Oryzias latipes: one gene and its partners. The protein of the gene in region 3 interacts with the protein of the main gene of each other region in a pairwise test. Links are inferred from orthologs where the notes say so. Each region holds a gene or a part of one and is shown on either strand. Other genes may lie near its edges. The genes, in order: syntenin-1, rpl9, zbtb8a, rad23a, bysl, kat5 and znf276.

Region 1 (4,153 bases), on a different chromosome or scaffold from region 3:
GAAATGCTGTTATGAAAGACTTAATTACGTTTTTCTTATTAAAAAAAAGACAGAAGATGCAAAAATACTAAGTAAAAGGCAAGAAAAATTTAGCTTAGACAGAACACGTTGTACCCAAAGTATTCATCATGTATACAGTCTATTTACTGATATAGTCATCTCACATGGCATGTGTTTACGATCCAAGTGCCCGACTCTTAGTTCTCTTCTTCTGCATAGCTTCCCGTTTCAGACAGGAGCTCAATGGTAGGAAATGATAGGGACGTTTGTGTCTCCAAACAGGTGCTGTTAAAGTAAAGGCGGATGTGTTTTACACAATGTGAGATCACGAGAAATGCCAGGTGAAGTTTGCATTCTCTTTTTATTACCATTTGCGTCAGCAGATCTTATTAGATAGAAACGTGCAGCTGTTAGATCAAGTTAATGCTGCTTTTTAGGAACCTTTTTATTTTATGTGAAAACGTTTCAAATCCTCCAAAATCCGCAAAGGAATCTCAACTGATCAGAATCTATCCACCAGTTCACACACAGAATGACACTGAAACAGCGCGGTCTAATCAGGAAAAATCATGTGACACATAGACAGGAAAAGACGCTGGAGCAGGACTTTTAACATGTCGGTTAAGACCAAAGAGGCCACCGTGCAGCACTAAGTCAATCATTATATCGATGTGCATTAGGAGGCTGATGTAAAGTATGGTTCTGAGATCAGAGTAGCTCTTCTGTGAGGCAGACTGTCAGCTTTGAAGAGCTGCTGCTTCAAGTGTGAAGATTAGAAACATCAGAGCTACAAAAACAGGTCCTACAATCCAGTTTATGTAGAGAGCATAAATCAAGCAACAGTTGGTTTTTTAACATCACTGAGGGCTCACTCCATTCTGCTCATCTCAGTCCTCCAGGACAAGTGCATCATTGTGTGTGTGTGGACACAGAGAGGCCTTTTTGTTAACCTTCCACTGTTTACTCTTCAGCTATGTGTTTGCTTGCTTTGTATGCCTCTCTCATACAGACTCTCTGGCTGAACATGAATACGCCTGGAAACAAAACAGCAGCATTTGAGCAACCCTTCAGATGACATAACAGGATCATTGAGACGTCTGCCACTGCGACGGAAAACAAGGCGCAGATCATTTTACTGAAATATACAAGAAGGAACCCTTTCTGAAGGAGGTTAAAAAAGTTTTTTTTATGGATTGTTAAGGTAAAGATTTCTGATGACGGAAAATATATATGAAGGTCACATTAACAAGTGAAGGTTAACATGACAAAAGAATTTTCTTTTGTTTCAGACTGTTAAATATGTGTGTACTGGTTTCCTGTTAGTTTTTTTAAAACAAATGTTTCATCTAACTTGCTTGCAAAAAAAAGTCAAGAAACTCAAAGTAGTGTTATATTAGGAGGAATGCCAAAGAAAGCTTGTGCAAAGGCTCAGACACACCAGGCCTGGCATGTGTTTGCTCCCATTCAACATATTTTGGTGTGAGCAGCCCATTCAGCAGAACTCGATCTAAAGCTTCTGCTTTATTCTGAAAATCTAGCAGATTATTCATTTACTGTTTTTTTTTTTTTTTTTATAAACTTTACTTCTACTTGAGTCTATAAATATAATGTCAAACTAACAAATTCCTTTAAAAACATGAACGGAAAACAAACAAATGAAAACATGTTAAAGCAGCCCTTAACTTCTAAGAATTATATTTGGTTTGGTTTAAGATGGACTCACCACACACTTAAAATAACCAAAAATGACAGGCTTAAATAATTAAAAAGGTTTAATTTATAAGTGATAGTTCATCCCTGTTCTTACCAGTGTTGTGCCTCAGTTCTTATAACAATTAGCTTATTTTTTTTCTTATTAACCATTAGCCAAACTTTTTGAGTGATCCACTTTGATTGGAAACTTGAGATATACATTTTTTTTATAGTTAGCCACTCTGATATAATTATTTTTCCTATTTTAAATGATATAAGCTTTAAATTTAAACTCTTATCCTATCAAAATAATACATTTTCACTGATCACCATTTATTTTGATAAAGGTACAGCCGGAAGAAACGAGAAACATGACTTATTAAGACTGGAAAGGGGGAAAAAATGCTGACGTCTTCGGGAATCAAGGAAAGAAAAAGGGGAAACTAAAGCAAAAGCATTCAAATTAATTGGCCCGCGTGCTCAAAACTGAGAACAGTTGTGTTGATCAGACACTAATCTCCACAAAGGCCGCTTTGGGTGGGTTTTTAAATAAGTTAACAACCCACAACACTATAAATAAATCAGCAGAATAATCAAATTCTTTATACTCTTGTGATGATGATATTTTAAAACAGACTCTCGTTTCGAGGCGAAGCTAACTTGAGACGCGCGAGATGTTCCTGAACGTTACCCGAAACTGTACACACATATAAGAAGCAGCATTGTTGATATAGAAAACATATATTTTTCACGTTCATAAATACAATAGCATGAGACTGAAGCGAGCGCGTGGATTAAAATAGAATAAAATTTGAAGAAGAAGGAGCTCAAAGAAGCGTCTTTGTTCCGGCATAAACAGCTAGAGGGAGGTTAGCTAACGGCGTTAGCATGTAGGTAAAAACAGAAATTCACCTCAGTTACAGCTACGTACGACAGATGGCCTCGCGGCGATACTTAAAAAAATTAAACATAGCTCACCTGTAGATGTGAATTTGTTTCAAAGTCCAAAAAAAGATGAGCACTCCGTTATTTTCTGCCTCTTCGGTCTTCTCGTCGCAGACACCTTAAGGGGACTTCTAGAAAGTGACGTCACTGTTGGCTTCCTGCTCCTGTGCACCATGTCAATCACAGCTGACGTTATAAGACACGCCCAGTTTCAGTCACATGACCCCTGACTCAGGCTGGTTTTATGAAGGTCTTGTGACTGAACTTCTGTGTGATATAAGGTCATAATAAGTGATACTTATATAAATTAATGTTAGAAGAGAATTGTGTTAATTTAGCTGATAAATTAAATTCCCAAATGATCTTTGACGTGTGTGTAACTGTTCAGTGTTAGGCTTTTCAAGAATGTCTCTGGAAAAAGTTTGTAGATGTTCCAAAATCCTCCATAACCTAGGGCATTAGAAGCATTTTTTATTCTCTTTCCATTTTCTTACATTTTTATACTGTTATAAACCAACATTAGTAATATTTTTTACATCAAATTTCTCCTGGTTTTATCTCAGATGTTGATGTTTGTTTATTACAGTTGTATGACATAGTCTGATTTTGCTGGAGGTTATTTATGAGTCATTCCTTCCGACTGTCACCTCATGCAGGCTTAGTAAAAAAAAAAAAAAAAACACCTTTTATGAGTTGATAGGAGCTCAGATTTGCACACGGTCTCATGGATAAATATTCTTTTTTTTTTTTTTAGGCGGATAAATCCATTTGTCAACCAGTTGATAATTGTTCTTTCTTATTAATGAAACTACACAGTTAAAGTTGGTATGCTCCAGTCAGCTACACTTTAAGCTCCTTAACTCTCCCCTCTGCACCCTTTGGGTGACTGTAGAGATTATTTATGTCTGAAACGTAGGAATAAAATGTCTTTATTGCATTTATGTATAATCAGTAAACATAACTGTTTAAAAAAAATATGTTTACTCTGTTTTTGTGAGCAACATTAACATCATTTTGATGTTCCAAAGGTTGTGGTCGTATTAATGTCTTCAAAGACCTGTGCTCTGCTTTTTCACATATACAGTGGGGCAAAAAAGTATTTGTTACTTATCAATCCTGCAAGTTGTCCCCCTTAAAACGATGAGAGGTCTGTAATGTTCATCATAGGTAAACTTACAACAATATTGCCTCTGGTGTCCTGAGACAGCTCTTAGGTATTGGTCGCGGAGACGTGTCTTTTACACAGGTAACCAATTTAAACTCGTGCCATCAATACAGACCACTGAAGGATGGAGGAGCTTCTTACCTTATATAACCATTCATATTATGTTAGATACCTGCATTTCTGAGAACCCTACCGCATTATCAAACTTTATTTAAAACCCATTGTATAGAACCTGGTCCATGTTTTTTGTTGTGGATCATCATTTCACCTTTTTCTGTTCATTTCCAATTGGCTGCTTCCATGAAATCTCAAAAACACTTGACAGGGATAATGTTGCTAATTGAAAAAGAA
Region 2 (4,198 bases), on a different chromosome or scaffold from region 3:
GATAGAACCAAGCCATATGATAAACTGCTAAAGAAAGAGTTTAAAAAACCAAAAGAAACGTACCAGAGTTTGAAACCAACTCAATGTCATTACCCTCCAGGACGAGTTCATCCTTCTGGGCAGCAGACACTGCACACATCACACCTGGAAGAAGAACATAGTAGTTTGAAGACACCGTGACACACTGATATGAAAAACCAAGAAATCTCAACGCGTCACCGTAACCTCAGAGAAATCTACTTCTGCAGGTAAAAGTGACATAAGTCAATGAAAAACGGGATTCCAGCAACAGCTTTGCTCTGAACAACCTTTGTGTGACTTTATAGTGATTCACAGATGAAGCACAAAGCAAAACCTCCACGAGTAGTTTACCTTTGTAAAGCTTACGAGCCAATAGGTCAATTTATGATTTATTCATTATAATTGAATTATTTGCATATGGATGTATGCATATGTATATACATCTTCTAATCATTTTATAACTAATTATCCCAAGTTTCATATCTTTCTCTCTCTCTCTATATATATAATTGGTCTTCACAGTAAATCGCAAATTTATCTTTATCACAATATCAAGCTGCAGCGAAAATTGCAATAAATGGCTACCTTGAATGTGCTAAAACACTCCTATGGCAGCTTGAAGTATTTAACGTATCAAATAAATCAATTTCTGCATTTGACCAATCAGATGGACGGCTTCACGTTGTTGACCAATCAGATGGAGCTCTTCTGTTAGATGCTCACTTCCTATGTAGACGAGGGTCATTTGGAGGGTGATTTAAGTAATGTTGACTCTTATTGAAATGAAATTGTTGTAGTAAAGAGGAAATTATGTTTTCGGTTGTTTTGCTATTTGTTCATGTATCTTAAGTTTGAATTTGTTTTGATTACTTGAAATAAACGATATCCAACTCCAGCTCAAGACTGAAAAGGATGTCCTAAAGCAAGTTTCATGACTAAAGAGGGCAGCATAAAGGCAACATTTTAATGTTCCCCTAAAATATACCAAATAATGATCCATCTCACACAGATATAAAAGGTAAAAGTAAATAAATAAAAATTATTAATAAAAAACGAAAAACTGAAAATAAGTCTACCAAATGTGCTTTGAGTTATGGCAGTTATTTCCCAATCATAACATACAAACTTACATTCAAGACAGAAGAAAGTAAACATAACAAGGTTAAGGAAATACTAATGCATGCGTCTTTTTATGCTCTTTGCCAACTGAACAATATTCCAGACTCACCAGCCCTCATTCTGACCCGGCGGATGTACTTCTCTCCCAGGAAGTTCCTGATCTCCACCAGCTGTCCATTTTCCTGAATGACCACGTTGATGGGGAAATGGGCGTACACAGAACGCATTTTATACCGGAAACCCTGCATTCAAACAAAATAAAACTGTTTTAGACGAAAGCAGGGTAACCACCAAACAAAAGTCAATCAGGTCTTTCCCAAAGACCAGGCTGTGCTCTGCTGGAAAGACGCCTCACCAAAGTGACGCCTTTGATCATGTTCTGAACATGGCTGCAGATAGTACGGACTGTGGCCAGCTCCTTCCTGTTTCCCCACCATTTATCCACACGAAGCTGAGGATGAAAACAAGCTTTGTTTGTTTGAAATCACTTCCAGATTACATCCAAGACTTTATCTTGAAAGAAAAGATCGACTATCGACAACTGAGATCATGTAAAATATTTCACTTTAAAAGAGAAAAAACAGCGCACAATTAAACAATTCTACCATATTTCATGTAAGCAACACATGGTGGAATTTACCTTAAAACAATGATTAATCAATTGCCCAATTTTCTTGTATTTGTTGTAATTTGATCAGGTTTATTAATGTTTCAAATGTACACATTTTGTCGTTTTTGTTTCCAGGCCTGATGTAAACAACAGCGGTTTCCATTTCTACTCGGTGAGTTCTAACCCATTTCTTACCTTCTTCTGTTTTTTGCCGAGTAGGCTGAGATCCAGATTGATGTGGTTGAACTCCCTGGTGAGCTTGCCACGGGGCCCCTTCACAATCACAGTGCGCCCCTTTAGCCTCACCTCGACTGCAAAACGCAGAAAGGAACAGTCAACAACCAGACTCCCCCGCCCGGATGATGATCACAAACTCCAGGTGGGTCAAGTTTCTCACCATTGTCAGGGAGGTCCACAGTCTGGCTGCTGAGAATGGTCTTCATTCTGACGAAAACCAAAAATAGTTTCAATGATTAGCTTTAAAGTAAAGGCTGGTGGTTTCTATTCAAATGTTTGTCTGAACTAGTGTGTACTGTTGGTACAGTACAACTCAGCTGTGCTTAGGTCAATCAATGTAGCCGCACTACGTTGACATATGCTAGCTATAATAAAGCTAACGGGCTACAGTACAGGGACATAAACGACTTTTAAATGGAAACTCCGGTGTAAGTATTTTCTCATGCCCAGAAACTTGGTGACCCGCATGCGCTAAATAGTCAAACACTACTGTGTCCACCGTTGTTTAGCCGTTAGTACCAATTCGGGGCTAGGCCTTAGAGTCAGTCTGCTAAAAAAAAGATGTGTGCATATCTTTCTTTACGCTTGCAATGGAGTGAAAATTCCTGTGATATTATGAAAATCAGTATTTTAAGCGACTTTATACTTAAAAAATTTTCGAAACCAACTTTTAATCAACGAAGATGAAGTTAGATTACACTCTGGCGACAAATTCTAGACATCCTCACCTCGCCGGTAGCAGAGGAAAGGAAGCCGGATGGACGTCACGACGTAATTGTAGCGCACGCACGTCCCCAGACATTACGTATCGATCAACAGATTGATCAAAATAGAATTTTACATCCATATGAAGGCCAAACGAAAACAACGTGGTTTAGATTGTAAAATATGGTTACATTTGACGTTTGTATTAAGTCATCGCTTTATATTATTTTATTTAGATACGCTCAGACAATCTAAAATTATAGAACGCAATCTCATATTTACATTTTGATATAAAAAATAACCACTAGCAAAAGCTAAAATTTCATTTAATAAAAATAATTGAACTTGAAGTCAATATTCTCAATGTGTGCCGGAAAAACTTAGTTTTCCGAGTGAAACCAATCACGCGAATGCAGCACCAGACATGGTAGTCGATTACCGATCTGTGTTGCTTACGACAGTTGTATGCTAGCTAAACAAAGTCATGGCGTTACTTAAACAAAGTTGCTGTATTGCAGGCCGCTTCTCCACAAATCACATATGGTTGAGTCCTAGTAGATCCATTCCACATGTGAGTATTTCTCATGACTGTTCGCATCCCTATCACGTTTTTAATCACAAATCTTTGTGGTTTTGAAACTTACTAGTTTGTTGTATGTTAACTCTCAAGGGCAATAACGTGTTTGTAAAAAAAAAAAAAAAAAAAAAAAAAAAAAAAAAAAAACACAGCGAAACAATGTGTGCTTTTTGTTTCTTTTTTTTCCTGCAGATTTCTACAAACAGTCTGGCAACCACAGCCAGATCCCCCTTAGAGCCGGTTGACCGGAAGAAGGCGCTTCAGAGCGACGATGGTCCTGATCTCCAGGACTTCATTTCAGGAGATCTGGCGGAGAAATCCAAGTGGGCAGATTATAAAGGACATCTGAAGAGGCAGAAGGGAGAGAGGTAACATAACTCTTAGACAAAACAGGGCTTTCAAATTTGACTGCAGATAGTGTGTTGAAATTTTCTTAATGTGGAGTTTTATAAATAAATGAGCCTAGTTTTTAGTCATCTAAAGTGAAGACATACATTCTTTGTTTGCATACTCTTATCTTTTCTACATAGCCTGTTATTTCACAACTTGTTGCTGTTTCTGTATTTAAAAAAACAAACTTTCTCTGATTCCTTTCAGGCTGAGGCTTCCCCCGTGGCTGAAGACGGAGATCCCCATTGGAAAAAACTACAACCAGCTGAAGAACACCCTGAGAGATCTCAACCTGCACACAGTATGTGTTATGGTTATAGATTGTTCATATGCTGGAAGTGTCTAAAACCTCTGTTTACCAGATCTCAACATGAAATTTGACCATCAAATACGGATGATAATTGAGTTTTTCTTTGAGAATTTTAGGCTTTTAGTTGATCATCATTTGTAGTTTTTTTAGTTGATCTTCTTTTGGGGGGGCGACATGAGGGATGCAACGATTCCCTTCCCCACAATTCAGTTCAAACCTTGAAGTTTGT
Region 3 (4,109 bases):
TGCCCCCCCCCCCCCCGGTGGCAGAGACACTCTGGCGATGCAGCGCTAGACGTTTTTTATGCCTCGACTTTGATGTCCGACCATTCCTTCTTTATTTCGGCCACGGTCCGAGGTTGTGAGGCTACAGCATTTGGCGTCTGCCACCGTTTGCCACTCAAGTGCCTTTTTGGCATTAGTAATGCCCACACTGTGCCCTCCAAACAACATTTCCTCCTCTTTTCCACTTCACCAACGATAACTTCTACTTCACATTGAGTGAAGTTACGTTTTTTTTCATTTCCTCTCTGTGTTTGCCATGATTTCGCAATCCATGAATATTCATTTGTGGGCGTTTCGCGGACTATTTATGGGCAACTATGGGCGTGTCATGAAGCCGCAAAAGCTGCGCTGCATTTAGAATTGATTGTGATTTATTAAGGGAAAGATGCGTAGGATGTGCGTGCGCACGGTTTTATAAATCTGAATATTTCTGTGCGTACGCACGTCCTATGTTTCATCTGTACGCCACTTCTGACGCAAATCCTACGCAAAGTTTTATAAATGAGGCCCCAGGTTATGTTATGAGCATGAGTTGCCATGGCAACTTGACATACCCTGAAACATACCTCCATTTCTGGAACAGATTATCAACTTCCTTAGCCTCAAACTTACCGTGGGAGCTAGCATAACCTGCTTTCTGGAATACCCCCCAGGACTGCATATTCAGACTACGCCATGTTTGCAAATATATCATTTGTGGCCACAAATTAGTATTTTGTACACACAAATAAGCCTTTTGTGGTCACAAATTAGCATTTTGTGGATACAAATTAGTAATTTATGAGCATTTTGTAGTCACAACTTAGTATTTTAAAAGGCACGGGGGAAATGTACAGAGCTCTAAATGAAACAAAATTTTTACTCATTTAAAAAATTGTAACCATGAATTAGTATTTTGTGTAGACAAATGACCATTTTATTATTTTTTTACATTTTAGTACAAACAAATGAGTATTTCAGTATCTTCAAGTTCCAATACTAACTTGTGCCCAAAAAATACAAATTCATTGCCTCAAAATTCTAACTTGTGCGCACAAAATGCTAATTTGTGGGCCAAAAAAAATGCTACTTTGTGTGTAGAAAATACTAATTTATGGCCAAAAATTAATATTAGCAAATAAAATAGTATTTTAGCATCTTCAAGTTACATTACTAATTTGTGGCCACAAAATACAAATATTTGGCCACAAAATGCTAATTTCCCCCTTAAAACTCTTATTTGTCCCCATGAAATACTATTCTGTAGCCACTAAATGCTAATTTGTGCAAAAAAAAACTAAAAATACATGTGAGGGAACCATTTATTTATTTTTGTAATGTCATTTCCAAGGCTCCGTTATTTCGTGGCCACAAATGAATATTTAACTATAATTTTGTAGGAAAAACTAGTGGCCAAAAATTAGTGTGCACAAATTTGTGTACACTAATTGGCATAATGTGTGCACAAATGTGTATTTATTGCACAGAAATTTGTATTTTAAAGCCATATTTTGTTAGCATTTTGTGCACACATGTATTTTTCCCACAGAATGTTGTTTTTGTAGGCCACAAATTAGTAGAAGGAACTGATCCTCAAATTTGTGCACAAAATATAAATTTGCGGGTTCAGGGCTCCATAGAAATGTCAGTAATTAAGTAGCTATTAAAAAACAAGCATAAGATGTCCTAAAGTTCTACTCTGGCAGCATCTTTGTGCAGTGGATCATGTTGAAGGAAGACCGGCCCACCGTTCTGCGCTCTGATTGGCTGGGTGATCCATCAATCAGGAAATGCTTTATAATGGATTACACCCGACTCTATCAGGAAGGGCGGGTAACAAACCCTTTATTTAACCCTGTTGGTTAAATGAATGATGAATCAAATATACTGTACAGTTATAAATAAAGATTTCTGCAGCTAATAGAAGCCATTAAAAAAAACAACGAAAGGCATACTAATAATTTGCCTAAAGCTCATATTTGAAAGACAGACTACTTTATAAAAACCCAGCAAGTCATTTTTCCTGTCTGGACTGACTTGATGGATTTAAATGCGTCCTTCATTATCGCGATACGCCTCGAAAAGCTCCGCAGCGCCCGATAACCCTCGGCGAAACACCCGCCTGAAACACTCCGGTACTTCAAATCACACTCAGAACCGAGTCTCGTGTGTTAATCGAGCAATTTCCCCTTCGTTCGGCCGCGCGCGACCTCCAAACGGACACGAGAACGCTGCAGTCCTACGAGAGGAAAGCGGGTAGCGGCGATCCGGAGCAGCCCCGTCTGTCCTGGAGCGACGCCCACTTCAGGCTCCAGCCAGCACACAATGGAAAAAAAAGAAAAAAGAAAAGACACCGACCTCCTCCAGCGGCGAAGCACGCCGCGAGCTCAGATAAACATGTCCACACCACGAATCAGTTTGATGAAACAAACGCCCGTTTCCATCCGCGAGAGGCGCCCCCACTCCTCTCCGGAGGTCCGGAGCACAGCGAGCAGCTTTCGCCTGCTGCCCGGAGCGAGCGACGCCTTCGCAGGCGCGAGGTGTCGGCAAGGACCCGCTGACGCCCTGATATATATACCCCGTCAGAAAAGCATCGATACTCACTGGTGACTGGATTCACCCGCCGCCCGGCACACTCTACTTGCCCCTGCATCTACCTCTATATCCATTTTTTTTATTTAAATGATTATTTGTGCCTTTTCTGACCCTCCCCCTCCGCTTTTTATTTCTCCCCGTCCAGGGTCCACAGCCAGGCACTTCCTGCTCAGCCCTAAAGACCGAAACCCGGTCAGAGAGACTGGAGCTCCGTGCTGACGTGGGTGTTTATTAACAGGGTGCCCGAGGGTTCAGGGAGCCATTTAAAGCCCCAGTGCCTTTTTACAGGAACAGCACGTACCTCAGCCTAAAAACGACCATACCCACTCGAGATCACGCAGGAATTCATGCTCACCTTACCATGATTTCCTCCAGTATCCTCTTATTACAACATATTTCTTTCTCCATCCGTATGAAAAAAAAAAAACCCCACAAAAAATAAAAAAATACAGCACCAATAATCTTAAAGAATATGTCCTTAGGGGTTTTTCCAATTAATACATTTCAAAAGAAAGCACAATTTTACTGTTAGAAAATTATTTTATTCATCATTTTTATGGCTTCCATAATTATAAAGTTAAGAAAAGAATCCCTGCTGTTCAGAAACAACCAAATAAAGACAAAAAATCTGTTGAATAGATTTTAGTTACAAATTCCAAAAATAATAGAAAGAAATTCAAATTTGAGGCCTTATGTTGCATTTATGACATGACAAAAAAATAGTATCTGCTTTGGTGGATTAACACAAAATAATCAATAACACCCCCCAGCATTCATCAAGAGCTGGTGCTCTTGGAAAATCCAGTGGGGTTCATGGACTGCCAGCGCCACAGATCTGCACCTGAATGCAAATGAGGAAGAAAAAATAAAGATGGCACAGATTATTGAAAAATGATCGCAGCTAATTGAATGTATTTTCTGCAGATTATCAGACTGCACGGTGTGATGGAGCCATTGACTGTATATGAGAACTGGACTGAGGTACCCATCCCTGCTTGGGTTCTAAACAGGAAGTACCTGCTGACTCCAAGAAGCCATAGACTTCTATAGTAAAATAAAGTAGCTATTACTCAGTCATTATATCTGGCAGAATAACCATTTTTGCCCTAAAACCTTTTTTTAACATGTTCTTGCTAATCCTATTTTTTCTGTAGTTATTTAAGTTTTAAACTGGGCAATCAGATGACTCAGAGGTCTCAGATTGAACGTTTGATTGACAGATTCTCCCGAGCCCACTTTCAAGTGGTAGGGGTGTGGCCTCTCAACAAGCTTTCTCCTGATTGGCCAGAATGGTTTGCCATAGAAATGATCACTCAGATCGACTCGGACCATCACTGCTTACTGATGTTATCTGGCTCCAACGTGCCAGTGTCCGTGTCACGAAAAATTGAATCAACCTTTTTTCACTGGAGCCAGAAGTAAGTCACTTTCTATGAGTGACGTCACACTCCGTCCAGTTTTAATTTAGAGTCAATAAGTGGAGCTTACACATCCTC
Region 4 (4,150 bases), on a different chromosome or scaffold from region 3:
ATAAAAGCTAGTTTAGCCTCCACTCAATCAACCCCTCCTGCTTTCACCGCCCGGGTGGTAGCCTCCTGCTTTCCCTCCTAGAAGCCTCCTACTCTGAAAACTTTGGAGGCCCCTGTTTAACAGCAGAGAAGTTATTAGTGATGTCCAGATCTGATCACGTGAGCAGAAATCAGGCCGACTGAGTCGTTTCGCATTGGACTGGAAAAAATAACCCCGATCAGGACATCCCTCTAAATTTACTGAATAATGTTGGATTTTACGTTTAGAAACTAAACGAACTTTAAGCGCTTCTGTCCCCCGAAGTAAATAAATCTATACAGTAAAAGTGTTTTTATGTAGATTAAAAAATTGGACAGATGTTCATTTCACTGAAATAAGTTCCGGAAAAGTACCGTAAATTCCGGACTACAAAGCGCACCCAATTACAAGCCGCACCCACCCATTTTCACGTGTTTAACTACTTTTCTACATACACAAGCCGCGTCGGAGTACAAGCCGCATGTATTAGGCAACATTGTCATCCTGACAAATCACGTCCTGCCTCCCAGAGTAAGTGTGATGGTGGATTTTTTCACGCTGCTTCTAACGATTGCTTTTAACTTGAAAGCTTCATCATATTGCAGTGGCGATCACGTGCACGTTGGGTCTAATGGCACCAAAGGATTCTGGGATGCGGCTGGGCATGCGTGTTTCGTTTGTGGAACCATGACTGAAGTGTCTAAGACCTGAAGTTAGGTCCATGCTGTTTGGCTGCCTAGACGTGTATTGAAAAACAAATGACTTGCCCTTGGTGTTAGATAGAGAATTCTAACCATTCACTGTGTCCGAAAGTACGTACATGGCGGCCGCCAAATAAAACCATAAATTAGCCTCGTCACTGAATAAGCCGCACGGCTGTAAGCGCAGGAAAAAAGTAGCGGCTTATAGTTCGGAAATTACGGTAATTGTTTTAAATATGGTCGATGTTATTCGCAGGCGTTTACGTGCAACCAGCACAAAAACTGATGGAAAAACATGTGGATCACACGAAAACCATGTGGCCCAAATACACATTGCTGCACGTATTTGAACCCTAACCTTACCTGTAACCATAAGCCCTGCCCTAATTACGGTGAAATAGTCACTTCCTTTAAATCTAATTGTCGATTTAAGTAAAAAATGTGATACAAAAGTTAAGGATATTATGAAAATCTTGTAAATGATTTGCAAAGTCATTGTAACTATGATGGAGACGTCAGTGTCTGAATCCCGCAAAACAACAAAATGATGTTTGTTTTTGTTTTGTTTATAAAGAAAACAACAGCCGAACTCACTGCATTCTGCTGAATTAAATGCTAAGTCATCGTACAAACCCGCTCAGATTTAAGTGACTTCTTTCCCCATTTCGTCTCCCTTTTCTACCAGCTGACACCGGCGAGCGTGGCGGTACGCCTGTTACCTGGCGGGCTGCTGTGGTTCTGTGGCTTCGGCACTTTGCTCCTGTTTGGCCTCCTCAGGAGGAATAGGGACAGCTGCAGGGGTGGGTGCAGCAGGAGGATTTGAAGGCGGGGCAGCGGTTGATGTGGAGCCAGAGTCCTGTGCGGGGGGCTTGGGGGCTTCCGGGGCTGGTGCCGAGGTCGTGGCTGCAGGCTTAGCCTAACGTGTTCAGAAAACAAATGAAAACGTCAGAGGAACTGCATCCAGACGCGAGTCCGCTGCACACATAAAAAAAGATAAAAAGCTGGACCATGCAGTCTCACCTTGGATACCATCACTACAACAAAATTCTTCTCATCGATTTTGTAGTCTTTGATTGGCGTATCGTCTTGCAAGATTTTCCCGGCGTATATCAGCTTCTGCCCAGAAACAGGAAAGTTGTCTTTTCCTCGTTCAGCCTCTATCTTCTCCTTCAAGGCCTTGACCTGACACACAAGAGGGCAGACATGATGGTCGGACTACCCGGAGGCAGCCTATCCTCAACACCTGAAAGCCACACCCCAGCCGCCTCCATGCGAAAAAGGCCAAATCTGGAGCACCAGCGTGTATTTTACTTTTGTTAGACATCTAAACAGTAGAAGTTAACCCAATCCATCTAGGCTTCCAGAGCTGGGCTATCTATCAGGAGCTAGGCGTGATTGGCAGTGTCATGATGAGCATTTAGAGCACGCGCATCATCCTTCGTCACCACCAGCGCACTGACTGAGCGTCTCTGATTCACACATGTTGGTGGTTTTACCTCATATATTCACAGCCAAAAAGGCCGCAACAATCCTCTGTCAGCAACTTCAACTAGTGACAACCAGCTTTCAGGTGGCGGCCCAATGACTCTGTTAATTTTAGCAACATTAGCTTGAAACCTAGCTTAGCGAGGTAGCTTCAGCGCGTAAAGGAACAGGTGTGTTCTTAATTTTAAGCATTTTTTGTGTGGCTTAAATGTTCACACAATTCAGAAATTAATTCGATGTGATAAAAGTTAGTTCCTTTCACTGTACCTGCTCTATGGAGCTGTCGGGTGTGCACGCGGAGCTAAAAGACAACTCCGGTGCTGGAAGCTAACGCAGTTAGCTGTTAGCCACTTACCGTTTGTTCGGGGTCTATTTCAATCTGAATCGTCTGCTGCTGCAGCGTTTTCAGAGTGATCTGCATGGCGGCGTCCGGTGTGCTTCAAACTGGAAAAAGAGCGGCGCACTAAAGGAAAAAAAAGTCAGTCTGTGTCTCAGGTTCGCGTTTTGAGTAAGATAACAACTAGCCGAGAAATGTGTGTATCCATGAGCACTCAGCAAATCGCCATCTTTGGTGACAAGTTACGGGCACTCCTGCTTGGAGGCTGTGAGATATCGCGAGAAACCACGAGAGGGCCAGCAGCACAAAAGCTTTAGAAAACAAGCAAGACAAACACACGCGCACAGAAATCACAAGACTTATAACTTTTTAACTATATAGAAATACATTCTGATCATGTTAAGTGCCTGTGAGACTCAAAGTCCCACTTTGATCATCTTTTGATCTATTTTCAAAGCGTTCCTGGTGGTCTTTTAGTGACGATTATGCTGTTTTTAGACAAAAAAATTCAAAAACCTGTGTTGATTTCGTGGACGTAGTTCCTGCAAAGCAGCAGCAGTTCATTAAAAATTCACCTCTAAGTTTGTAGGAAACACTTCTGGTGCGGAGCTACCCAGGCCCCCCTTCCCATCACCCTTCTGTTTACATGCTCTCCTGCTAGCTTACAGCCCCACACAACCTAACATTATCAGTGCAACAAATATTGGTGCTGACCGGCTTTGAGCCAGACGCCAGCTCGGACGAGTAAAACAAAGATGTAGCCTACATGGATCTGGTCTACAGGCGGATGCATCAAAATGCAGCAAAGCAGTGAGTTTGTGGCCCCGCCCAGTGTATTTTCTAGGTCACAAGTATCCGTGTCACAGCTACAAGCTTTCTAAGATGGCATTTTTTTTGTCTGTTCCAGATTCACAAAACTTTTATACACATCATGTTCTGACCCATCCCCTGGGGGAGCGGTGACACAGCTGTGCTCGGGATCCCCCCCAATTTGAAGCTGAATTTTCTTTATATGTGTTCTCCATTGTCCGAAAAATGCCACAAGAACAATTTAAAAACCCCACTTTCATTGGGGTGGGTCTTTGAGTCTGAAGCGACGTTTACAACGCCAAATCACTACCAAATCCGAGTCCCTGATTGGTCAAAGTTTGACCTGGTTAACCTTTCATCACACACAGTCAATGGTCGCAAGTTTTGAACACAAAAACCTATAGCTATGCGTGATGCGAGACGCCCAAAACACGCATTTACTTAAACTTTGCATTAGAAGGAGCCACATAACCATAAACTTCATCGTGCTGTAAACTTCTTTTATTCATCATTGGGTATAATATTAACTCACTCTTTGTTTATTTCCTCCTGATTCAGGCACAGTGGATATCTGCATTCACACCTGGAGGGCCTTTTTTCTGCACAGCAGACTTTAATGCCACTATCACACGACCAACACAAACTGGTTCAAACGAAAGGACTTTGGTGTCAACGTGTGTCAATGAAAACCTAGGAGAAAGGGATTCTTTGGGTATCTGCTGCATAAAAGAGTTTAGGAAGTGATTTTAAAAGACAGAATTGAGCACTTTGAACATGATTTGTGTGTCAAATTGTTAAA
Region 5 (4,050 bases), on a different chromosome or scaffold from region 3:
CCTTGTGTCCCTTGGCGTTCTGGAAATGACTTTTTAACTTGGACATGAGGACGTCAAAGTTAGCATCAGCTACTAAGTAGGGTCCTCCTTCGAATAGGGCCATGCAGCTCAGAGGGGTTTCAGAGTTATGCATCACGTATAAGAGCTTGGAGGGCTGACCTGTGACAGACGGGAAACACTGGATGATGCATTCAACTCAATAATACATAAACTCCACATCCATGATTCAAATAAAGGCACATCTGTTATTGATGTAAAAAAGGTTTTTAAAGTCTAAAACCTTAAACAATATTTGGTTTTATAGTAAGGCTTTGAGATGGTTTCTACCATAAAAGGCCAGAGCCATTAAAGTGCAGCTGAAGGGGTGATCTGTCGTCACACTCCAGTAGAACTAATAGGACCCTTATCTAATTTGTAAAATATTCTCAAGATAATTTGACAAACACACATAAGATAAAGTGGCTATGTATGCTTAATTGTGTCCCATATTTACTGCAGATGTGTCTGAAGGAAGAATTAGCAAAAGCCCTGAATGTTCTTGTTAAAAATGCTACCAATTAAATGCAAGGGCACAAACGGAGCTCATATGCCAATCACCTTTTTTTAATTGCTTTTTAAAGGTCTAAGCAACCACAACTAATTACCACATGAATAAATAACTACTAATATGTTTCCCGCGTGATGCTTGAAAAAGTAGCGAGCTTACCGACAACGTTTCCCGTGGCGTGGTATGTCTCACAATCCACGCAGAAGCTGCCTTGTTTCACAGAACCGAGCTGCTCCAGCTTTTTTTGCAGGACGTCCACGGTCTGCTGCACACTCTTGCCCTCCGCTATGGGCACCTGACAAACACTGAAAGACAAAACACCCGACTGAGCAGCGACAACCCAACGCATCCATGAAGGGGAGGAGCACGCTTTCCCCAAAAGAACAAACATTTGAAATAGACAGGTCCTATAAACATAGCGAAACCAAACTATGTTGAAATAATAATTACACTTTAATGAGCCAAAATATTCCTTACCAAGTTACTCCCATTTTTGTTTTGCCTCCTTCGCAACTACTTCCGGTTAAACAAATTGACTTCCGGTAAAGGAAAAAATAAAATAAAAATACAAGTGAACATAGACGAATTGAGTTAAACTGATTAACTCAGTTAATAAACATAGGTTCTTTCATATATAATGTTTCGAAACATTTTTAATGAAACCGGATGTGACGTAATGTATTTCCGCTGCCTCTGTCGCGCATGCCGTTTGTCCGCACGTGCTAAACAGCTGGGTGTTTACACACTAAAAAGGCATAGACAGGCTTTAGCTTGTAAATTTTTTTGGAGCTGTAGCGATGCCGAAAGTGAAGAAATCTAAAGGTGGAGGAGAAAAGAGCTCTGGATCCGTGGCGCTGGCTGACCAGATCCTGCAGACGGACACGGTCCGAGCCCGCAACCGGGTTAAGAGCAGAGACCAGCGGCCAGAAAGCGACGACACCTACGTAGACGAGCGGCTGTCGCGGAAAATCCTACAGCAAGCCCGAATTCAGCAAGAGGAGCTTCAGACCGAATATGGGCTGGTACCGGAGAAGAAGAAGGCGACACCGGTCACTGTTCTTGGTAATGTTGGATCAGAACCAGGACATCCGCTTCAGTTTAGAAAATGATCAAACAGAAGCCGTTGATTAAGGTTTCTAAAGGTTCTCTCTTGTTCTAGTTTTTCTTACCGAAGAAAACGATGACCAACTTTAGTAAAGTTGCATCACAGATTCATCACAATTCAGACCCATCTACCCTTAACAAAGACAAGTACACTTGAAGTTTACTTAAGGATACTTGAGTAATAAGTGTGTAGTAGTGTACAAGTATAGACCATGTACGTGTAGTGTAGGACATATAGTAACTGAATACTTTTTCAGACTTTTATTGGAAAATTTTAAATGTATATAAAAAGAAAATTCTAGTTTACTGCTTTACTTTTAGTATAGACAGTATACTTGTAGTTTACTTAAATAGACTACTTTTTGCTAAGGGATGCACTAATGCTATGACTTAAAAATAAAGTTAACTGTTCACTAATGATGGTTTTAGTAAACACTCCAAATTAAAATACTTTCAGTAAATAAATACTTAAAAATAGAAGTAATAATGTTTTCATTTACTCGTTTCTGTAGTTAGTTGGGTGATTCCATACATCTAGATCTGCATCTTTTCATTATGTGAGTTCTAAACACTCCTGTAACTGTAGGTCCTGAATCTGGGGATGCAGACTCGGATGAAGAGTGGCCCGCACTGGGAGAAGCAGTTTCTGGGGCGGCAGAAACCGAATGTGATGCTGAAATTATTGTAGACCCAGAAGACGAAAAGGCCATTGAGATGTTCATGAATAAAAACCCACCAATGAGGCAAGAAACATGGCAGTTCTGACTAACCAACAACAACAAACAGAAACCACCAGGCCAGTTTCTTCTGTCCCTACTAACATGTTTCTCTTTCTCGTAGGAGGACCCTGGCAGACATAATCATGGAGAAAATCACTGAGAAGCAGACCGAAGTGGGGACGGTGATGTCGGAGGTGTCAGGGCGCCCCATGCCTCAGCTGGACCCCAGAATTACAGAGGTTTATAGAGGTGTGGGAAAGGTGAGCTTTCTTATATTATTGAAGACATAAGCCGCGGTTACATGCGCAAAATATCTGGATCGGATTAAAATCCAACCGTGTACATGGGATCAGAAAACCTTTTTCCGATTAGAACAAACGTTCACATGGGTCACACTTTCGGTTGGAATAAATCATTTGAGCATGAGCAGTAGTGTTGAAAATACCGAAAGAGGAAATGGGTCCCACAGTAAACAAACCGAGCTGCCACATACATTCATGCAGCAGCTCGGTAATATACAAGACGATCTTCTAAACGTGCTTTTATCAATGTTATGAATATTATGAAGCGCCTGTTCGCTCATCATTTTAATTTTAATCCGTGTGGTCAGTGCTTTTTTTTGTGGAAGAACCCTGGAGAGGCTAACACACGCGCTAACAACATTAGCCTTTTTTGATGAACACAAACACTCCCCTCAAACACAAAGTTATGAATCCGGCTGCTCTGCTCAGAGACACAGTTCGCTCCGTCCACCGGCACCCGAGCCCGGACCACGCAGGGTCCAGACGTCACGGGGCACGAAGCGCTCCCCCTCGCAGCCCCCTCGTGAGGGGTGTAAGAGAGGGGAGAGGTGAAGAGCCAGCAGGGCGAGAGCAGAGCGGCGGTTCTCACCGGTCCTCCGCAGAGCAGCCGGTTGGTCCTGTTTGCGCTCCAAAGCTTTCTCTGGAGCGATACACCGTCTATGCGTGACGTTAAACCAGAGCAGTAGTGACACGATCGGAATGAACTGTTTACATGTAACACGATTGGATCAACAATCGGCATAACCCACCTATCTCGATCGGAAAGACATTTTGATCCAAACGAGTCTGATCAGGGCAGAGTATTCTGAACGGTGTGTTTACATGACACATTTTCCTTCCGATTCAGGTGTTCTTTCCAATTACTTTTGCCCATGTAAACACAGCTACTATAACACGGTGTTGTACAGTCTGATGGCTGTGGGGAGGAATGACCTGCGGTAGCGCTCCTTCTTACACTGAGGGTGCAACAGTCTGATGCTGAAGGAGCTGGTCAGCGCTTCTACAGTTTGGTGCAGGGGGTGGGAGGGGTTATCCATGATGGATGTTAGCTTAGCTTAACAAACACAGCCCACAATGGCACTGTCCTCTGAGAACTTCTGCAGGTGACAGTGGTGGGAGTTGTAGGTGAAGTCCGATGTGTACAGGGTGAACAGGTGTGGGGAGAGCACAGTCCCTTGAGGTGCCCCCGTGCTGCAGACCACCACATCAGACACACAGCCTCACAAACTGTGGTCTGTTTGTGAGGTAGTTGATGGTCCAAGCAACCAGATGTTGGTCCACACCTGCAACCTCCAGCTTCCTCCTCAGCAGTGATGGCTGGATGGTGTTGAAAGCACTGGAGAAATCAAAAAAACATGACTCTCACAGGGCTCCCAGG
Region 6 (3,977 bases), on a different chromosome or scaffold from region 3:
CTGGCTGCTACTTAAAGATTCTTCTCATTTCTAGAAAGTTATGGTCTTACCAAGTTTTTCCACACACTGCTTCAGCAGTTTAATAACTTATTCAGGAAATAAAACAGTAAAGAATATTAAAATATGTTCTTTTTTAGGCACAGCATTTACATGAATAAATTATAAAATATTATAGTAATTAACATGAATATTGCAGAGTGCTGTGCTGTTGCATTTTGCCCCGTCAGCCCCAACATCTGTTTGCTACTCCTTGTGCTCTCAGACAGACAACTTTGACCAAACTGAGTCTCAGTTTTAGGGATAGCTCTCCGGTGCCACCATACTTTGGTTCTAGAAAATAAGTCTGAAACATGGACTGAAACATGAATCCTCACTGTTATGCAGTCACCTCACAGAGCACAGTTTGAAGAGAAAGCAGACAGCGCAGTGATTTAGGTAATTTAGAGACAACCCCCCCCTGAAATTATAATAACATTAAACTTTAACTGGCAAAATTTCAAACTTTAAAGAGAGTCCACAGCTCAAATAAAGTGTGAGGGTTGAGTTTTAAGGAGAGAGTCAATATCAACTCTACGGGGCGTTATTTATCCATTTAATTATGAGAACTATTCATTTTTTTAAGTAACAATTGATTCAACAATATCATTTTATTCCAATTTTAGTTATATTTGTATCAGAGGCATCTTGAGTAAAGCATCAAATAAATCTTGAACATTTGCTTTGTTGAATTTGATTTTTAACCATTTTGTTTCTCTGCTTTGAAGCTAAAGGAAGAATTCTAATCTACTTAAGTTTATAGCCTGTGTCATTTAGAAGAGAAACAGGGCAGCAACTATTGTCAATGCATGCTGTTCAAGAAGGATTTTGTCTGCAAAACACCTAACCCAAATATGTTGCAGATGACCGACATTGCTGAGTGTCGACATAAACCTGGTCTGTCTGTTTTTCATCAGACAGAATGAGCAGGAGACTGCAGAAGCTGCTTTACCAACTGACTTACAAAAAACCCAGAGATGCCATTCATGCTTTTGCCGTTCATGCTTTTGTTGTGATTGTGTGTGGCCCTTGAAATAGTGAGCAAAGACACATTTTCAAAAGAAAACCAGACTTAACAGCATACAGACAAAACTTTCCAACTATATATAACTATATATATACACTATATATATGTAGTGCTTGACAACACTCATAAAACAGAAACAGATTATGATAAAAAAAAAAAAGGTCCTAAAAACAAGCCTGGCAAGTATGCAAGTATGTTTTGTTTTTGTGACTGGAAAAAAAACCTGTAGATTCAATTTTTTATCAAAAAAAAACTCAACTTCAATAAGATGGAAACTAAGCAGTCAATGAAAATAGTCTTTCACAACCAACTGTTTTCCAACAGTACTGTTGGGGAACTGCCGTAAACATTTAAATGTAGTTTACTAATGCTTTATTATGAATCTTCAAGGGTAAACTTACTGGTACTACTTCTCTTTCTGCTCTTTCTGGTGAGCTAGGACGCGAGCCTGACAGTCCATTCTTTGTGGGTGTTTTTGCTTCTTTTTTGGGAAACTGGAGCTTCTTCATGTCCAGCCTGTCTGCTGTGACCCATTCATCCAAGCGCTTGTTGACTGCAGACACACACAATTTTACATTACCAACTAAAAGACCAACTGTTATGAAAAGATTATTTTTTTCCGTCCATATGAAACACGACCGAAACTAGAACGTTCTTTATGTGTTTGGAATCACTTTTGTTTTTTCTGAAACAATGACATGAATGAAAAGTCTAAGCTTTCTTTAATGATAGTGAAACAGGAAAGATGAACTTTGCTTTACTCACAGTCAATGTAGTGAACATAGAACAGCTTTCTTCCAGAAACCTCCTTCAAACTCAGGATCTCAGCCAAAGCTGCACAAGTAGAAAAGAAATTATAAATACTATTTACAAAGTAAACACACAGCTATTTTATCTTAATTCAAGTGGAAAATGAACATTCACAGTTATAATTAGTGCAAGAGTGGTTTTGCTTTTTAGCGCCAAGATAAAAATGGGTATTGCTTACTTTAATCACACTGATGATGTGTAACAAAGCTAGTACTTTGATTTAAATAGCTTGGAACTACCTCAGGAATTCAACAAACTAGATGAACTTATGCTCTTTTAAGAAAAAACATTGTCATCTTTAACTTCAGCTCTCATGTCTACATGATGAACTGTACTGGACAGCAGTGAATTATCACAATTTATACAATCCTTGCGTATGAAACTCAACCTTTTTTTAAATTCGTAATTTAAAATGTAGGGCTTTTGAAAAGCAAAATGTAATTCAGACTTATCTAAATTTCTAGTGTTTAAACATTGCGACTAAATGATTTCCAGCCCAAAAACACAAATAAAGAAGTAACAAAGCAATTTAGACCTAAACGAACAGTTTCTACCATAGCAGTCACTGCATTTTATCTGAATTTGTTTTTAAGGTTTTTTTGAAGGCCGTCATATTTGTTTGTTAGTTAGCATTAGCTTAGCTCTAAGCACGAACGAAAAGTACTTACGCCACTCATCCTCATGTTCCTGGTTTTTACGAAGAACGGGGAGGCGACAGCCTTCCACAATTTCGACCTGTTGATAAAACAGCAGATGTTAGTATCCAATAGTAGCTGTTATTTTTAAAAACAATAATATACGTTTCCATAACCTACCGAAGAACAGTTGTCCGCCATTTTCGTCGTTGGTGTAAGCTGCTGCAGTGTGTTGTGGGAAAATGCCGGTCCACATCAAAGACGTAAAACGCAGTGAGACTGAGCATGCGTCGCTAAGCGGAAGTTATGGAGCCAACCCGGAAATTTTTTTTTTTTTTTTTTTATTGATGCAGAACAAAAGTGACATACAGCAAAAGAACAAGGAACAATAAGCTGTACATCAAATGTTCAAAATAAACGCCAGGGGATATGCAAGCAAAAAAATAAACTTACACTAAATTATACAGCTGAGCAAGGTGATACGTTTTAATAGCTTTTTTGTTTGTACTGGGGGAAATGGAATGTAAGTAACATCTAACTTGGGCTAGTAAATCAAGAAAATTAGGAGCTTTATTGCTGAATTTAGATTTGTGAATATAATACTTGGTTAATAAAATTAGAAGATTTATTAAATAAAATTGAGATAAAAATGTCTTATCATAATTAATGTAACCAAATAAGATGTTTTTCCAGGTTAAATTAAAATGTGGATAAATTTGAGTTTTTATCAAATTTGTCATTTTGTCCCATATTTTTTCAGTGTACTTGCAGGTCCAAAAAATATGCACCAACGTTTCCTCAGACTGAGAACAGAAAAAACAGTTTTTATCAATATCCCTTTTTAGCCTTTGCATATACTGATTTGTTGGATAAAACCTATGAATGATCTTGAATGAAACCTCTTTCACTTTGTTGTTTAGAAGATATTTGTTTGGCAGAAGCCAAACCTTTTCCCAACACATTTGACCATGAAGTGAAGTCCAGAAAGTTATGGCCGGGGATTCAGTTTTGAGCTCCTGCTGGAACAGTCTTCGGATGGTTTTGTTTTGATTTCTCAAAGCAGAGAAGCAGAGTTTTCCGACAGCAGTGTCTGTCACATGAAGCTGTGGTTGGGGAGCAGATGGAGTAGGAGTTCCTTTATAAAGATAGGTGAGGTTGAGGGAAACGGCATCAAAAACAACCGAAAAGTCCTTCATAGAAACAGGGATCTGGTAGAACTGAAGGAATTCGGTGTAAGTGTAAAGTTGACCTTGTTGATTGAATAATTGACTAACTAGTCTGATATTATTATCAAACCACTGTTGGATAAAGATAGTTTTGTTTTTGTAAAGAATATATCTATTGTGTCAAATGTAAAACCTGTGAGGAGAAAAATTATGTTTATAAATCATGGACCAAGCAAGTAACATCTGTTTATGAAATGAAGATAGTTTGATGGGCACTTTGTCGGGCTTGTAGGTGCAGAGGAG
Region 7 (4,232 bases), on a different chromosome or scaffold from region 3:
ACATTTCTGCTACATCACTTCCTAATCATCATTTGCCGCCACTGAATTTTGTCCAAAAGCTTTTGTCCTTTGACTTTGTCACCGACCAAGGGGATTGAAAGAGTCAGATAATATTTTAATATTCAGTGCCAACCAGAAGGGAAAGTTGAAAAACTCTGGGACTTTCAACGTGCTCTGTACCTGTGGGTGGCACCCTCTCATGGGGCTACAATTGTCTCTGATCCTGACAGGGTGTCAGTGGGACATCCAAGAGCAGGTTCTAGAACAGGTCTGGTCTATTGTTGTGTAACAAGCTGCATCACTTTTTGTTCTATAATTCAAGAGCAGCCTCCACAGGATACCACGGGGATGCGGTTGAATCCCTTCTCCAAATCCACGAAACACATATAGACTGGATGAGCGAACTCCCACAAACCCTCCAGCACCCTAAAGAGGGTGTAGAGCTGGTCCAGTATTGACAGCCTCACGCCAAAGTCATTGTCCTCTGCTTCCTCAAAAGAAAGCTTGTCAGTATGAAGATCCTCAAAGTATTCCTTCCACCGCCCCACAATGTCCCCAGTCGAAGTCAACAGCTCCCCACCTGCACTGAAAACGGTGCCTGCAGAGAACTGCTTTCCCCTTCGGAGGTGCCAGGCGGTTTGGCAGAATAATAAACCAAAATTAATAAACATAAAACAAGGATTTTAAAGTAGATTAAAAGAAAAGTAATAAAAGCAGGTTTTATTATTACTGTATTTAAAAAATTCACAAAAGTAGTTTTGTTTTACATTATAGTGTTGTGTGTTTACTGTTTTTAGTGTTAAAGCGCTTCGAGCTGCACAAAGTGCATGAGAAGCGCTATTTTATAAATAAAGTTTGATTTGATTTGATTTGATATAAACTGATTAAGGATTATCCTCCCACTCCTTTTCAAGTAATTCATTAAAGTGTTTTTCAAAAACTTCGCATTTAATATATCTTTTGTGTCATGTATCGTTTGTATAAGTACAAATATGTCTATTTATGATTTAAAGAAATTAAAATAGCATAATCTATATGTCTATGTGTGAAGTATACACATGGATAAGTATGTATTTTATTTTTTGTTTTCATTTAAATCCAGACTATTTTATTGTAACCCCTTTTTTTCTTTATTTTCATTTGTGTTTAAAATAAAGGAATTGAATTGAAAAGAAAAAAAAGTTCGATATATCAATGTATAGATTTATATCTCTTTTGTTTGTCCTCTTTCTTTAACAGATGAAATTAATTAATTCTAATTCCAAATGCCAAATTACTATTTGATAATTTGCTTTAAAAAAAGGCATTTATTCTGTAAAACGCATCAGGTTTAAGCATTGACCGTTCGGTTCGTTTGTCCACCTGCTCGTTAGGTGGCGCTGTTTGCTCCATGTTTCCGATTGTCCGTCTGGTTGCTCTTCCGGGGAACAATGTTTACAAACGAGCTGAGGCAGAATATGAGTATCTTATGAGACTGGATAAAACACGACATGCTGTTCGTGATATAGGATTTATGCACCTTTAAGGTAGGCTTCGCTTTTAGTTTGAATGCAGCTTCAGGAGTTTGTAGTTTTTCTGGAGTTAAAAAAACCTTCGGAGCAAGCTCAGTAAGAGTAAGAGGCTAACCGAGCTGGGCTAACGGGATGTTTTTGTATGCAATGCTAACTGTGTGTTCATGTCATCGACCCTTGTTGATGATTTTTTTTATTTTCTGTAAAAGAATAGCTTTACAGCATCGATTTATAGCATTTAATATAAGAAATAATAATTTGTGTTTAAAGGCTGTGAAAATAAAATATTTCCCAATGCTCAACGTGAATGTAAAACAAGTTAAGAACCATAGTATCATCATAGTGACGTGAGGTTTCTTTAGGGGTTGTGGGAGTAATTTATCATAAAAATTTTAAATGTAGTCATTTGAAATCTTAAAACATTAACCTTTAAGTTATAAAACCTTTCACTAAGTGTAATTATATTCATTTACTATAAAATAAAAAAAATATTAACAGATGCTGTAGTACTAGCAATCCTAATGAGCTAAGCCTTTTAATTTTATTTACATTTATTACATAACTATATGTGGCTTTCATTTGAACTCAAGCAGCAGATTTTCCATCATAAGAGCAGCTGCTGACAGTCCAGCCCTAAATAAAAGGCATGAAGAAGAAAAGCAGAAGCCCCAGATCGAAAGAGTCGCCATGGCTGCAGACGACGGGGGAAACAAACGAGAAGAAGAGGCCCACCGGCAGCAAAAGGAGACCCAGAAAAGGTCAAGCTGCCGCCGCAGACGGCTGTGACGGCGCAGAAACACATCAAACCGCCAGCACAAATTTCAGCGTGGCTGCTGACGAAGCACAGAAACATGCAGAGAGCATGTGCAGCTCTACAGGTGAGTCTCACAGAGGAGCTGGGGTTCACAGGTGCTGAAGATTTGCTCTTTCAGCTGGAAATGGCAGCCACTACTCGTGTGCCTCCTGTTGGCAGTTGTTGTTAATACTCATTTCTAAGTTTTAAAAAGATAGAATGTGGAAACTACGGTGGCCCTGAAGTGCAAATCAGATGAACAAATCTCCGAACGCAAAAACAAATCACGACAATTAAGAAATTAAAACAAAATTAAAGAAACCAAAACGTAAAAAAAGACCCCAAAAAAAATGTGGAAAATAAAAGTAATTTCCAGAAATCAAAAAGATGATAATGACCTTTGAGTTTGAAAAAAAAAAACTGTGTTAAAGAGTTGATTCACTTTTTCAGTGACTGTGGCCAGAAGTCTAAAGAAATCTCTTCTGTCTGAAGATATCATGACAAATAACTTCCTGTTGAAAAGGTGAACAAAGGTTATCATCCAATCAGTGATGTCATACCTGTATAATACCTACCTTTTCTGTTTTTTTTAGCCTTTTCTTTTTATTACTGGAAATTAGTTTCCCATGAACGTTTTTGTTTTCCTCATCTGAACTGGCATCTGGATCAAAGCTGTACAGCTGGATAGTTCCATTATTGATCGCCCTTTAATCTTAGGTTGGGGGTGTGAGGGGCTTTGGTGAGTGCGTGTCAACAGAGAGTAATGGGTGACGGGAAAGGGGGTGAGATTGCTCCTATTGAACTACTGCTGCTCTGCAGAAACGATGTCTTAGAAAAGGACACAGGTTATCTACAAAATATTTTCCAGGTGTAAGAAAAATCCCTTAAAGAACTTCAGGAGAATCTCAGTAATGCCGTTTAAAGCTGTAAATGTAATAGTTTTCTATCTACAGGCAGACTGTCTGCTGCCGTCTGTCGACTCTGCCATGGGAAGTTCTCCCCTCGCAGTCTGCGGAACGCCTTCAACAAGTTGCCTCAGGACTCCCCGGACACAGTTGGCGCTGCGACCCAGTCGCCCCTTCTGTTTCACTCAGACTTCCAGCGCTTGGTCGGGGTCCGCTTGGACCGGGACCCTCGGCTGTCGGAGTTTATCTGTAAAAAATGCCACGCCAAGTTCTACAAGTGCCACGGCATCCTGATCCGGTTCCTCCAGAGAGTAAACATCCCACCAGTTGGAAAGGAGAATCTAAAAATCCAGTGAGTCAGAACAAAAACCAAAGTTTAATGAGTCACTATTTAAACAAATCCAGAGCTATACACAAATATCTTTTTTGCATGTTATTCAGGAAGAATGCAAAGTGTCCAGAGTCAACAATGAACTACAGTTCCAAAAGTAAAGGAAAACATTTCTCTCTCTTCTTGGCTCTAACGGGTGAATTGTTCATTTACTCAAACTCATTTTCACTCTTTCAGCTCCATCTTCCTTCACCTCAGACCCAAAGTGCCTCCACAGCCTGGTGTCCTGGGCGCACCACCACGGGGAAGCCTGCCGCTTCTGCCCCGACCTGAAGGAGGTGCTGGAGGGCCAGTGTTGGGGCTCTGTTAAGGCTGTGTGGGGCTGCGTGGACGGTCACAGATACATCATGGACACTCGCTACACCCCTCCTCCATGCTTAAGCCGCGCAGAGAGCCTCAAAGGTGGAGATCTGGGGAGGGGCATCGGTGATGGAGAACTGTCGGGTGAGGAGCAGGATGACGAGGAGGAAAAACAACCTCCTGGGAATGGAAGGACGTCATTGGAAGATGTGAGCTCTCAGCGTCAGAGTGGTCTACCTGCAGCTGCAGTGCAGATGCAGAACTCTGCTCCGGATGAGTGGACTGGCAGCAGTGAAGGTGAGACCTGCATTTCAGAAAGTCCTCCGGCTGCA

Evidence for each region.
Region 1: the proteins of zbtb8a (region 3) and syntenin-1 interact in binary tests that used the Homo sapiens proteins (3 or more experiments, as listed by UniProt). The two-hybrid records come from large-scale screens. The link is inferred for Oryzias latipes from reciprocal best matches to the Homo sapiens genes ZBTB8A and SDCBP.
Region 2: the proteins of zbtb8a (region 3) and rpl9 interact in binary tests that used the Homo sapiens proteins (3 or more experiments, as listed by UniProt). The two-hybrid records come from large-scale screens. The link is inferred for Oryzias latipes from reciprocal best matches to the Homo sapiens genes ZBTB8A and RPL9.
Region 4: the proteins of zbtb8a (region 3) and rad23a interact in binary tests that used the Homo sapiens proteins (3 or more experiments, as listed by UniProt). The two-hybrid records come from large-scale screens. The link is inferred for Oryzias latipes from reciprocal best matches to the Homo sapiens genes ZBTB8A and RAD23A.
Region 5: the proteins of zbtb8a (region 3) and bysl interact in binary tests that used the Homo sapiens proteins (3 or more experiments, as listed by UniProt). The two-hybrid records come from large-scale screens. The link is inferred for Oryzias latipes from reciprocal best matches to the Homo sapiens genes ZBTB8A and BYSL.
Region 6: the proteins of zbtb8a (region 3) and kat5 interact in binary tests that used the Homo sapiens proteins (3 or more experiments, as listed by UniProt). The link is inferred for Oryzias latipes from reciprocal best matches to the Homo sapiens genes ZBTB8A and KAT5.
Region 7: the proteins of zbtb8a (region 3) and znf276 interact in binary tests that used the Homo sapiens proteins (3 or more experiments, as listed by UniProt). The two-hybrid records come from large-scale screens. The link is inferred for Oryzias latipes from reciprocal best matches to the Homo sapiens genes ZBTB8A and ZNF276.

The regions. Positions count from the first base shown.
Region 1 is NC_019865.2:5,716,940-5,721,092, forward strand, and holds the start of syntenin-1, read right to left. Parts: upstream 2,839-4,153; 5' UTR 2,671-2,838; intron 1-2,670. UniProt on the Homo sapiens protein: Multifunctional adapter protein involved in diverse array of functions including trafficking of transmembrane proteins, neuro and immunomodulation, exosome biogenesis, and tumorigenesis.
Region 2 is NC_019859.2:13,029,372-13,033,569, forward strand, and holds the start of rpl9 (60S ribosomal protein L9), read right to left. Parts: upstream 2,805-4,198; 5' UTR 2,790-2,804; coding exon 2,716-2,789; exon of another isoform or gene 2,656-2,715; intron 2,195-2,655; coding exon 2,148-2,194; intron 2,062-2,147; coding exon 1,946-2,061; intron 1,592-1,945; coding exon 1,496-1,591; intron 1,383-1,495; coding exon 1,250-1,382; intron 145-1,249; coding exon 64-144; intron 1-63. Other genes in the region: lias (lipoyl synthase, mitochondrial), read left to right, coding at 3,177-3,263, 3,462-3,637, 3,867-3,960.
Region 3 is NC_019880.2:16,761,552-16,765,660, reverse strand, and holds the start of zbtb8a (zinc finger and BTB domain-containing protein 8A), read right to left. Parts: upstream 2,821-4,109; 5' UTR 2,688-2,820; coding exon 2,623-2,687; intron 2,608-2,622; exon of another isoform or gene 2,377-2,607; intron 1-2,376. Other genes in the region: gale (UDP-glucose 4-epimerase), read right to left, coding at 3,390-3,454, 4,102-4,109. UniProt on the Homo sapiens protein: May be involved in transcriptional regulation.
Region 4 is NC_019866.2:22,942,510-22,946,659, forward strand, and holds the start of rad23a (UV excision repair protein RAD23 homolog A), read right to left. Parts: upstream 2,811-4,150; 5' UTR 2,626-2,810; coding exon 2,560-2,625; intron 1,902-2,559; coding exon 1,740-1,901; intron 1,636-1,739; coding exon 1,439-1,635; intron 1-1,438. UniProt on the Homo sapiens protein: Multiubiquitin chain receptor involved in modulation of proteasomal degradation. Binds to 'Lys-48'-linked polyubiquitin chains in a length-dependent manner and with a lower affinity to 'Lys-63'-linked polyubiquitin chains.
Region 5 is NC_019863.2:2,276,669-2,280,718, reverse strand, and holds the start of bysl (bystin), read left to right. Parts: upstream 1-1,235; 5' UTR 1,236-1,344; coding exon 1,345-1,609; intron 1,610-2,237; coding exon 2,238-2,394; intron 2,395-2,491; coding exon 2,492-2,630; intron 2,631-4,050. Other genes in the region: med20 (mediator of RNA polymerase II transcription subunit 20), read right to left, coding at 1-159, 707-852, 1,025-1,038. UniProt on the Homo sapiens protein: Required for processing of 20S pre-rRNA precursor and biogenesis of 40S ribosomal subunits. May be required for trophinin-dependent regulation of cell adhesion during implantation of human embryos.
Region 6 is NC_019872.2:15,162,034-15,166,010, forward strand, and holds the start of kat5 (histone acetyltransferase KAT5), read right to left. Parts: upstream 2,809-3,977; 5' UTR 2,710-2,808; coding exon 2,689-2,709; intron 2,609-2,688; coding exon 2,542-2,608; intron 1,898-2,541; coding exon 1,829-1,897; intron 1,617-1,828; coding exon 1,465-1,616; intron 1-1,464. UniProt on the Homo sapiens protein: Catalytic subunit of the NuA4 histone acetyltransferase complex, a multiprotein complex involved in transcriptional activation of select genes principally by acetylation of nucleosomal histones H2A and H4.
Region 7 is NC_019864.2:27,733,598-27,737,829, reverse strand, and holds the start of znf276 (zinc finger protein 276), read left to right. Parts: upstream 1-1,394; 5' UTR 1,395-1,526; intron 1,527-2,101; 5' UTR 2,102-2,157; coding exon 2,158-2,389; intron 2,390-3,257; coding exon 3,258-3,561; intron 3,562-3,650; coding exon 3,651-3,697; intron 3,698-3,777; coding exon 3,778-4,197; intron 4,198-4,232. UniProt on the Homo sapiens protein: May be involved in transcriptional regulation.